Linked DNA regions of Saccharomyces cerevisiae S288C. The gene in region 1 interacts genetically with each later gene. Each region holds a gene or a part of one and is shown on either strand. Other genes may lie near its edges. The genes, in order: AAT2, HOS3 and ARO9.

Region 1 (3,429 bases):
CTTCCAAGCGGCGGATTCATTTGATATCGTCTACGTGGAGAACCCAATTCGTTTATTCCACCACTAAGTAGGGTACATTTTATGAGAAGAACAGAAACAACATATATAGCTGAATACAAGTGTATATACGTAAACGTATACGATTTACTTAATTTTCTACGTCAAAGGCCTTCCTCTTCTGCGAGAGGACAAGATGTGAATATGTGAATTATAGAGATGTCTGCAGTATGGTTTTACCCAAATGATCATGGACCAACTAGGGTCATTTCATAGTGTTTAGGAATATACTGCGGTAGGACGAACAACAAAGATGACCGAACTCAGATTTTCCCACTCTGCACCCACATCCCGCAATCTCTTCGTAATAAGGAGAAAGCTGGCCATAGGACAAAGTATAGGAAAAGAGCTCAAGATCATGCGTCCTACTTAATCTAAGTTAAACTCGTCAACGGGGCCACTTCTGTCTCATCCATATATATCATGGCAACAGCCCCCGAACCCCATATACACATCGTTAAGGCAACAGCACCCGATGCAACGACTAAGAGAAACTGCTCGTAGTCTGACGACTCAAAACTCTGATCACGAAGATCAGAGGAGAAGTCAGGAGCTGCATCTCTTATGTGATGCCGTTGTCCGAAGCGCCATCTAGATGAATACGTGAGGCCCATTGGAGGCTCCTTGAGACTCTGCCTCTCGAGCGTTGAAAAACGCTAGCCCAGTGTTTTAGAGAAGCTAAGCAGCAATAGCAAGAAATGCACACACACGTATGCGAGTGACTTCCCTTCCCTGTATAGTACCGAACTAGCACGAGACTATGGTTACTTTTTTTTTTACAAATAAGCAAAGAGAAACTTGAATGGGAAAAGAAGTTTACCATAGAAGTTAAATGCACGACGATGAGAGTTTCAAAGTGTTTATATAGGCGAGAGAATCTAAAGGAAAATTTTTCTTGAAATAAAAAAGCACTGTCAGGGTAACAATGTTAATAATAGCCGCTGATGGTTTAGGGTTACTACGCTAGAAGGACATAAAATCATTATTTACAAGAAACATACAAGGAGGCAATTTTTTAAACTCTCAATGTAGGATATTTCATTTAACTGCACTAGTGGCATCTATTATACACAATTACTCCAGTAGCTGCCACAAAGCACCCAAAGATAAGAATAATTACGGAAAATGAAATTTTTACTTTGAATATGATGATATGGGCATTGCAGGTTTGTAGTAAGAGCAATTTACAGGAATTCCTGACGGAATATTAATGTTTTCTTACTGTTTAATGCGATGTACATATTGTCAATACTAATGGTCACCACTGGAAATGGCTATCTTTCGTCTTCGTGAATAACGATCGCCGAGAGTCGGACCGAGTGAGTCAGCGTGATCGGCCTCATTTACCTTGTCGCCTTGCACGTCGGTATATAAACGTATGTGGATACTTTAAGAAGGGAAAGCGCAACCGTCCAAATTCTAATGAACAAAAGAACACAGGAATACAAGAACACAAGAGCGATAATGTCTGCCACTCTGTTCAATAACATCGAATTGCTGCCCCCTGATGCCCTTTTTGGTATTAAGCAAAGGTACGGGCAAGATCAACGTGCTACCAAGGTCGACTTGGGTATCGGGGCCTACAGAGACGACAACGGTAAACCATGGGTCTTGCCAAGTGTTAAAGCCGCCGAAAAGCTAATTCATAACGACAGCTCCTACAACCATGAATACCTCGGTATTACCGGTCTGCCAAGTTTGACATCTAACGCCGCCAAGATCATCTTCGGTACGCAATCCGATGCCTTTCAGGAAGACAGAGTAATCTCAGTACAATCACTGTCTGGTACGGGTGCTCTTCATATATCTGCGAAGTTTTTTTCAAAATTCTTCCCAGATAAACTGGTCTATTTGTCTAAGCCTACTTGGGCCAACCACATGGCCATTTTTGAGAATCAAGGCTTGAAAACGGCGACTTACCCTTACTGGGCCAACGAAACTAAGTCTTTGGACCTAAACGGCTTTCTAAATGCTATTCAAAAAGCTCCAGAGGGCTCCATTTTCGTTCTGCACTCTTGCGCCCATAACCCAACTGGTCTGGACCCTACTAGTGAACAATGGGTTCAAATCGTTGATGCTATCGCCTCAAAGAACCACATCGCCTTATTTGACACCGCCTACCAAGGGTTTGCCACTGGAGATTTGGACAAGGATGCCTATGCTGTGCGTCTAGGTGTGGAGAAGCTTTCAACGGTCTCTCCCGTCTTTGTCTGTCAGTCCTTTGCCAAGAACGCCGGTATGTACGGTGAGCGTGTAGGTTGTTTCCATCTAGCACTTACAAAACAAGCTCAAAACAAAACTATAAAGCCTGCTGTTACATCTCAATTGGCCAAAATCATTCGTAGTGAAGTGTCCAACCCACCCGCCTACGGCGCTAAGATTGTCGCTAAACTGTTGGAAACGCCAGAATTAACGGAACAGTGGCACAAGGATATGGTTACCATGTCCTCCAGAATTACGAAAATGAGGCACGCATTAAGAGACCATTTAGTCAAGTTGGGCACTCCTGGCAACTGGGATCATATAGTAAATCAATGCGGGATGTTCTCCTTTACAGGATTGACTCCTCAAATGGTTAAACGACTTGAAGAAACCCACGCAGTTTACTTGGTTGCCTCAGGTAGAGCTTCTATTGCTGGATTGAATCAAGGAAACGTGGAATACGTGGCTAAAGCCATTGATGAAGTGGTGCGCTTCTATACTATTGAAGCTAAATTGTAATGATTAAATAATACTTATACTTACCTATTACACTCTTCATATTTTTTTTAATGTAAAGAAAGTAAAAAAAAAAAAAAATAAAAAAAAGAGAAATGCTCTTTCTTTACCTTCACAGGTGTATTATTATGTTGTTGTAATATCCGGGTAGGTTTATTGATCGAGGCGAGGCGAAAGGGCATATTCGAAACAATCATTATGATAATAATGTCAATATAGAAATTGAAAAAAAAAAAAAAATCCTACCGCCGCATCGACGCTCCTGTTAGACCTTTGAACGGAAATCACCCACTCTTTACTGTATATATTTTATTCCACCTCTGTTTCCAACGACCATTTCACCATACCACACAACTCCCATGAACATAAAGGATAGAACTTCAGAATTTCAACAAAGTGTGTTGAGTTACAAGAAAAGAAACAAAAACTTTAGAGAACAGCAGAGGGAACGTCTACAAGAGAAAGAAAGTGAAAACTTTGCCAACAACACAACCGGCAATGGGAAAAGTGTCTCTGAGTTTCAAAAAAAGGCTTCTGGCATAGCTCACGAAATTTCATCCACCGCACAATTATTATCGAAATTAGCAGTGCTGGCCAAAAGGAAACCGATGTTCAATGACAACCCTGTAGAGATTGCCGAGCTATCATTTTTGA
Region 2 (4,334 bases), on another chromosome or scaffold:
GTAAGTTTAATAAGATGAATCTAAGAAATTTATGCATCGTGTTTTCCCCAACTCTAAATATTCCAATTAGTATGCTTCAACCATTCATCACTGACTTTGCGTGTATATTTCAGGGTGGTGAACCAGTTAAAGAAGAGGAAAGGGAGAAAGTAGATATACATATTCCTCAGGTTTGATGGTCTAAAATTGTAGAAATATAACGTTGCCAGTAAACCTCCATTGATTTAATGATAGAAAGAGGGCGAGATGTATAGAGGCTTCTTTCTTTCAACGATATATTTGTAATAATAAAAAAATGTCAGGCTGATAAAGCTTATAGAGTGACTGTCTTTTTATTCCTCAAATGTTATTTACAATACCATATAATAAAATTAGTATATTGTCAAATAAAATAAGAGAAAAAAACTAACTTCTTGACCAAATGGTCGAAGAGCTGAGATAAAGAAGGAAAAAAATTAAAATTACTAACTATACAAGGAAATATAAAAATAGAAAAATTGTGTTACTAAATACAAAAAAGTAATATATGCGTCACTTCTTTAGTGGGTTCAAGACAACATTATATATGCATTGGTATCACCATCTTCCACCACTTCTTGTTGTATGTTTTCTTGAAACATGAGAAATCATTGATATATCACTATCGTCATAAGTTGGTGTATTTGCGTTTTGAGGCTGTCTTATGCGATGCGGTTTCGTATTGGAGGGAATTTTATACATTCCATTACCTTGTAGACGGCGTTGGTGCGAGTTTTTCCAATTTTTTTCTTTTAGCTCATGGTCTGAATCTTCATCACCTTTTTTTTCAATTTCTAAGGTCTCCAAATGTCTAGAAATATCATCAATGGTAATATCCTCCACCGTGCGATTGAAAGTTTTGTTCAATTCTTCATCGTAAACGTATTCTTCATCTTCATCCTCACTGGAAAATTCTTGTTGCAAAAACGGAATTTGGGTTTCAGCTGCTCTATTATTTGACGAGAGCTGCTTGACCTTGGTATCGCTTCTAATTTCCCTTTGTTCCTGTTTTTCCGTGCTTCTCGGCTTGTTTTCATGAAGTTCTTTTTCTGGGGAAGCGTTGCTTCTATGAGATCTGATTATTCTTTGAGCAATTGTCGACGTGGATGCTGGTTCGACAGTAGCCTTTAGTAGAGAATTAGAAGGTGCGCTGTTAACTGCGTCTTTAAAAATGATATCATCGAATTCCGGTATCATTGCTCGTCCCAGCCTGATAACTTCTTCTGCCCATATTCTTATGACATCTTTTGCTCTTTTTGTCTTATAGGGTTTCCAAGCCGGTTTGCAACCACGAACAATCTCTTTAACGACTTGTTCAGACCCCCATTCTTTAACCCAATCTTGGTTTTGTAAACCGATCAAATGTGCGAAAACACCAGAACATATAGCTTTATCAGAATATCCACCCTCCATTAGAGACAAAACTTTGCCATGACAGTGCATTTGTGCTAATTTCAATGCATCTTTGGTGAACGTTGTATAAAAACTTGTAGGAACGTTGACACTATGCCTTTGCATTGAAGTTTGCTCAAATTCTGATGCATCGAAACCTGCGCTTATGACAACCAAACCTTTGAATGGTCTCCCTTGTTGATTCATTTCTAGTTTTGCGCTCCTGAAAAATTCATCTGCTTTAGCAAATAAAGTTCTATATTTTGTCCTGTATAATACATTGAATTCTTCTTCGGTTGTCCATTTGGATAAGTGAATATTCCAGATGTTTAGGTCATGAGAGTTCATGATACAGGTAGATGCATTTTTAATGTTCTCCTTTGTGGCAAATCCCGACTCTGTTGGAAATGAATTTATATCATGCATAGAAAAATAACCGACTTTGGGAAATTCGGCAAATTTCTTACCAAAATCATCATAAGATGAATCTTCAGGTTCCTCCTCAGGTTTGAAACCCGCACGTTTCCAGCAAATGTCTTGGGTCCCATCACCGTGGTGTAGATCGAAATCAAGCACGACAACATGCGTGACGTTGTAAGTATCATACGCATATTCTATGGCTACATGTGCATTGTTTAACAGACAAAAGCCGGATGGTGTACCATAGTGGCAATGATGACCAGGAGGCCGTATAGCAACAAAAGCTCTGTTACTAATATGTTCTGCAGATGGTCCTTTGAAAATTGAGTCAACACCAGTTTCAATGGCCCCAATTGTTCCCTGTAGAGCTTTAATTGTCTTTGAGCTCAAGTATATATCACCTGAGTTCCAAGTATCTGGGACTTCGATTTCGCCTTTTAGCAATTTAGCATCTGCCATTTGGCAAAGTTCAATTAACTCAGCCGGCCAGCTACTGCCATGAACTTTAAGCACATGAGGTGCCATCAATGAACCTTTCCTTTGATGCGAGGATTTCAAGGTGAAAAGGGATGGATACATTGTAATCGCAGCTGATATACCCATCGAGCTTGCTAATAATCTTTCTGGTCGTTCGACTATAGTTTTCCTATACGATTTTGTTACCCATTCTCTCGGGAACACATGCTGTAAAGAATATGGGGATAGTACTACAACAGCTTTTGCAGATTCCGGTATTTGTGCGGCAGCTCGAGCTGCCGATATGACATTAGGGTTATTTTGAACAAATGCTTGAAATTGCTTATAAAATCTCTCCAATGGATCTGAATGCTTGGAAGACATATTATATCGTCGAATTTCTCTGTTTACTTCCAGAGCCCTTTTTTTCGTTATATTTTCAGTGACTTAAGAAGTATTGGAGAAACTGAACTGATCAACTCCACACGAAAAGAAAGTTTGTAATTTGGAAAAGGACTAGTTTTTCAAAAGAGAAGATCTGATAATAGATCAAGCGATAAAAAAATTAACAAGATCTTATTGTTCAATTCAGAAAAAAACGTAAACAAAAAATAGTTCTTCATGTTTAAAGGAAAGAGTAAAATAGTATTATCCCTTGATTAGTTGTTTACAATTCTTGAAACTTTCCCAAACTGTTGTTTACATTTCTCTAAAACAAAAATAAAAACATGAGCAGGGTAACACTCAAGGGTCCTAAAAAAATTAGGTTTTATTACAGAAATTGTATAGGACATTTTTAATATTACGAGGGTAAATAAATAACAGTCACAGAATAGTATAGGTTATTAAGGGCTTCATGCGGCTATTTTGCCTATATTAATTTCTTTTTTTTTTCTTTTTTCTTTTTTTCCGCTGCTATCGGTAAAAGTTTCCGTTCTTGCTGGAACGAAATGGACAAAACTTAATTGTGATTGAAATTTTTCCAGTCAACAGTTTCGCAATGACGATGCCCAGCCGATTCTTTTCCCTTTAATTGTTATTAAGAAACATGATTATTCATAACTCTTTTCTTGTCGATGGGGGTTGCCTTTCTTTTTCGGTCTTAACTCCATTTATATTTATTTATTCATTTTTATCTATTTAACAGGAAACAGTTTTCTAGTGACAAGAAGGCGTATATCCCACTTAATTCAATATTAGAGTATTCGTATTTGGAATACAGGAAGAGTAAAAATAAGCCAAAAATTCATTACACCTCAATGACTGCCGACAACAATAGTATGCCCCATGGTGCAGTATCTAGTTACGCCAAATTAGTGCAAAACCAAACACCTGAAGACATTTTGGAAGAGTTTCCTGAAATTATTCCATTACAACAAAGACCTAATACCCGATCTAGTGAGACGTCAAATGACGAAAGCGGAGAAACATGTTTTTCTGGTCATGATGAGGAGCAAATTAAGTTAATGAATGAAAATTGTATTGTTTTGGATTGGGACGATAATGCTATTGGTGCCGGTACCAAGAAAGTTTGTCATTTAATGGAAAATATTGAAAAGGGTTTACTACATCGTGCATTCTCCGTCTTTATTTTCAATGAACAAGGTGAATTACTTTTACAACAAAGAGCCACTGAAAAAATAACTTTCCCTGATCTTTGGACTAACACATGCTGCTCTCATCCACTATGTATTGATGACGAATTAGGTTTGAAGGGTAAGCTAGACGATAAGATTAAGGGCGCTATTACTGCGGCGGTGAGAAAACTAGATCATGAATTAGGTATTCCAGAAGATGAAACTAAGACAAGGGGTAAGTTTCACTTTTTAAACAGAATCCATTACATGGCACCAAGCAATGAACCATGGGGTGAACATGAAATTGATTACATCCTATTTTATAAGATCAACGCTAAAGAAAACTTGACTGTCAACCCAAACGTCAATGAAGTTAGAGACTTCAAATGGGTTTCACCAAATGATTTGAAAACTATGTTTGCTGACCCAAGTTACAAGTTTACGCCTTGGTTTAAGATTATTTGCGAGAAT
Region 3 (3,767 bases), on another chromosome or scaffold:
GTTCCTATTAAATTTGATTATTCCGATTAGATCGGTCGGCGCTACCAAAAAGAGGCGAAGAAAAGAGGAAAACGCAAGTGGATAAAGGGGTGGGGGGCAAAAGTATTTAAGAAAAAGCGATGCGATGGAGAGAACAAATGGATAAGTTGCGTTTCCTCGTTATATTACAACATTTAAATCTATTGTGTAACAGACTATAGCATATATATGAAGGCCAGTTACTTAGTTTTGATTTTCATTAGCATATTCTCCATGGCACAGGCATCTTCCTTATCATCATACATCGTAACTTTCCCCAAGACGGATAATATGGCTACGGACCAGAATAGCATTATTGAAGATGTCAAAAAATATGTGGTGGACATAGGGGGTAAAATAACACACGAATATAGCTTGATAAAGGGCTTTACAGTGGACTTACCTGATAGCGACCAAATTTTGGACGGTCTGAAAGAACGTTTGAGCTATATTGAAAGCGAGTACGGTGCTAAATGCAATTTGGAAAAGGATTCAGAAGTTCATGCTCTAAACCGTGACCATTTAGTTGCTTAGAGTAATTTAAAATATACGCGACTATAACTTTTTCCCAACTTTTATACAAAAAACTACAATTTATATATGATATGCAAATAACACATAGGTTTAATCTTCACTGTTCAACTTTTATAGTTGTCAAAAAATTCTTTTATGCCACTACCGATTCTTTTGGAAGCTTCAATCAACTGATCATCATCCCTTGCATAGGCGATGGTGAGTCTTAGAAAATCTGAATTCTGCTTTGAATAATTTGGGCAAACAGCCATTTTATAACCAAGCACTACTTTAACACCATTCTTCAGCAAGAACTTATCTAAAATATCCATCTGTTGCGGCAAATCGTCAGGTCTATCGAAATTCCCCCAATTGATTTTAATAATGATGAACATACCCGCGGAGGGTTCCATAACGGTAAACTGACCAGCTTGGTAAGATTCTGTTTCGTATAAGGCTTTCAAAGTAAGATTTTTCCTATGATTGTATTTAGAAGCAATCTGCATTATCCATCTTATCCAACCCTCAAACATTGCTTCTTTCATAGAAAGAGAGGACGATAAGTTGGACTCAGCCATTGCCTTTATTGTAGAATAAACAATAGCTTGTGAGGTACCACTGGGGGCCCTTGTAGTAATGTCGGCCAAATCCAAGATTTTTTGCAAAAGGAATTTATTAGCAACGATGAAGGATAACCTTAATCCAGGAGCAAAAATTTTAGAAAAAGTCTCCAAACGGATGACACGGGCATCTGTATCCAAAGTCAAGAATGATTTCATTAAAAAATCATTCAAATACCGTTCAGTAGTCAGGTCGCTAGAATGGTAAGGGTTTTCTAATGGCTCTTGCGGATTATAGGAAGGAAAGTACAGATAACCGTAGGGATCATCTTCAACAATGAGGAAATCGTGTCTTTGGGCCAACTGGTAAATTTTCTCTCTTTTCCACTGGGGGACAGACATCCCGGTAGGATTTTGGCCCGTTGCAATGGTATATAGGACCCTTGGCTTGTTTAAGTCTTTGTATGGTCCAGTTGACCAATTATCGAGCAACTGCGTTAGATATTCGACATCAATACCCTGGGACTCTCTGTCGAAGGTCAGGTTCATCTTGATGGGGATGACTTTTGCTCCTGTAGCCTCCACATTGGACATAGCCGGGGTGAAAGTAAACTCTTCAATCATCACAGTGGTCGATTCGTCGCAAATTGTTTCAAAAACCTTAAACATTGAATCGTTGGACCCGCCAGAAAGGATGACATCCCAGTTAGACTCCGTCTCATCGGAAAAGGCTGGGCGATTAATTCTGGACACAAAATCTTTAACAAAATGTAAGAGAGGGGGTAAACCCTTGGTTTCTGCATATTGGAAAGAACGTGCAATGGGTAGCTCACTGGGGGATCCCAAGTCCAAATGCGCCGTGGTAAACGAATTATGCCATTTTGGGTTATCATTAAAAGGAACTTTTGATATTTTCAAATCCATAGATTCGATAGGAAAAAATCTCTCGTTTGGCATTCCACCAGCTAGCTCAATGACGTCATCTGAGATATCAGAAGCATCCCAAAAGCTTTTCAGAGATCTATTTTCTACTCTTCTGGAGAGAAACGGTTGGAAGTTCTTCTTTAAGGAAGTGTAATCAACAGGGGGGGCAGAACCAGCAGTCATTGAGTCGATGAGAGAGTGTAATTGTGGTATGTGTGTATTTTTATGTTTACACTGGGATATTACAAGACCAAATCAAGCTTTTTCCTTTATATATATCAAATATTTATAATGTTTCCTACCCCAATGATGGTTCGGTTATCCGCGGCAAATCTCGGTAAGCATCGGCAATGCTTCCGCGAGTTACCGCTTTTTTTTTTTTATTCCTTTGTTATTATCTACGGCCGTCGGCGGCAATAGTATTTTTGCTCACGTGACCGACAAGGGTCCATTTTATTGCGGTACGGCTCTCTCTTTTTTTTTTTCTCCTCTTCAACTTCTCTCTGATTGCAAACAATATATAACATAACCATGTTCATTACGTACGAAAATATATATACATAAATGCATGGCAGTTATGGCAATTACAACTACAACGCCGTAAAGTTCCAAACGCAGCGGCCTGAGATAGTAAATGATGTACGCACGTGGGCGAAAGTTCATTACTTTGACTGTTGTAACATACCGTATCTCTCTTTTCCCACGTGCTCCGCTCTCTTATCTACCTTGGCGGTACAGCCCTGCGCGGAGTCACTGCAGCCACGTGCCTAGATCTATTACTATGACTTCCCATGGGCACATATACGCCATTAATATACAATATATATAACGTTCATATATGGGTATTTACAGAGAGCCAGGGGCAAATTGGACAGATGTCTCCACGCGGCAAAATGGAAACAGCAGTTTCACAAGGACAACACAAACAACTTAAAGATGGTCACCAGCATAAGGGAAGAAAACTCTCCGAGGAGATCGCTTCTCTATTGAGGCTCAAAGAGTGCAGGAGGCTCAATCCTGCTAGTTACTATACTCCACGTAGAACATCGCAGTCACAATCTCTCAGTGGATCAACTTTTAAAGAGTATAACGAGTACATTAATGAGAAAGATTCAAGTAGAGCGCAGCGTCAAAACGCTGCCGCCGTTTTAAGCAAGCTCGCCCATGACTTTTGGGAGAACGACTGTGTCATTGACGAAGACATATTCGAAGATTCGTCTGACGAAGAACAATCATGATTGCATCTCTTAATCGTTACACATACATACCTTCTACCTCTGTACTGTTACATATGCATTGACTTTACGATCTAATATAAATCCTTTTGATGTTACCCCGCCTGTGGGCTCGTTCTCCTTTCGTTTCTTACGATTTTTTCGCCGGAACAAGAAAAAACAGAACAAAACAAATCAGCGATCGTATACATGGGTCTTTGATTTCTGCTTGCTTCTTACAAACAACAAACGCAAACCGTTCATTGAGTGCTCTGTGACTGGTTTTCATGTGGATGCCATAGTAGAGAAAAGACACATACAAAAATTTCGCGCATTCGCTGGCCCTTTTCCTGCTCTCCTCTTCCCCATGTCCATGCCCATAGCAAGTACCACTCTAGCAGTTAACAACCTCACCAATATAAACGGAAACGCAAATTTTAACGTACAAGCAAACAAACAACTCCACCACCAGGCTGTCGACTCGCCCGCAAGATCTTCGATGACCGCCACGACCGCCGCCAACTCCAACAGCAACTCT

What was found.
Region 2: mutations in AAT2 (region 1) and HOS3 impair growth when combined (synthetic growth defect), as found in Saccharomyces cerevisiae (one study listed by BioGRID).
Region 3: of AAT2 (region 1) and ARO9, changing one suppresses a phenotype caused by changing the other (phenotypic suppression), as found in Saccharomyces cerevisiae (one study listed by BioGRID).

Annotation. Positions count from the first base shown.
Region 1 is NC_001144.5:196,178-199,606, reverse strand, and holds AAT2 (aspartate transaminase AAT2), read left to right. Parts: upstream 1-1,521; coding exon 1,522-2,778; downstream 2,779-3,429. Other genes in the region: bifunctional phosphoribosylaminoimidazolecarboxamide formyltransferase/IMP cyclohydrolase ADE16, read left to right, coding at 1-67; SED5 (t-SNARE syntaxin), read left to right, coding at 3,135-3,429. UniProt on the Saccharomyces cerevisiae protein: Plays a key role in amino acid metabolism.
Region 2 is NC_001148.4:327,942-332,275, reverse strand, and holds HOS3 (histone deacetylase), read right to left. Parts: upstream 2,671-4,334; coding exon 577-2,670; downstream 1-576. Other genes in the region: GTPase-activating protein BEM3, read left to right, coding at 1-176; isopentenyl-diphosphate delta-isomerase IDI1, read left to right, coding at 3,546-4,334. UniProt on the Saccharomyces cerevisiae protein: Responsible for the deacetylation of lysine residues on the N-terminal part of the core histones (H2A, H2B, H3 and H4).
Region 3 is NC_001140.6:374,140-377,906, reverse strand, and holds ARO9 (aromatic-amino-acid:2-oxoglutarate transaminase), read right to left. Parts: upstream 2,199-3,767; coding exon 657-2,198; downstream 1-656. Other genes in the region: YHR138C (uncharacterized protein), read left to right, coding at 208-552; SPL2 (Spl2p), read left to right, coding at 2,807-3,253; serine/threonine protein kinase YCK1, read left to right, coding at 3,597-3,767. UniProt on the Saccharomyces cerevisiae protein: General aromatic amino acid transaminase involved in several otherwise unrelated metabolic pathways. Mainly involved in tryptophan degradation.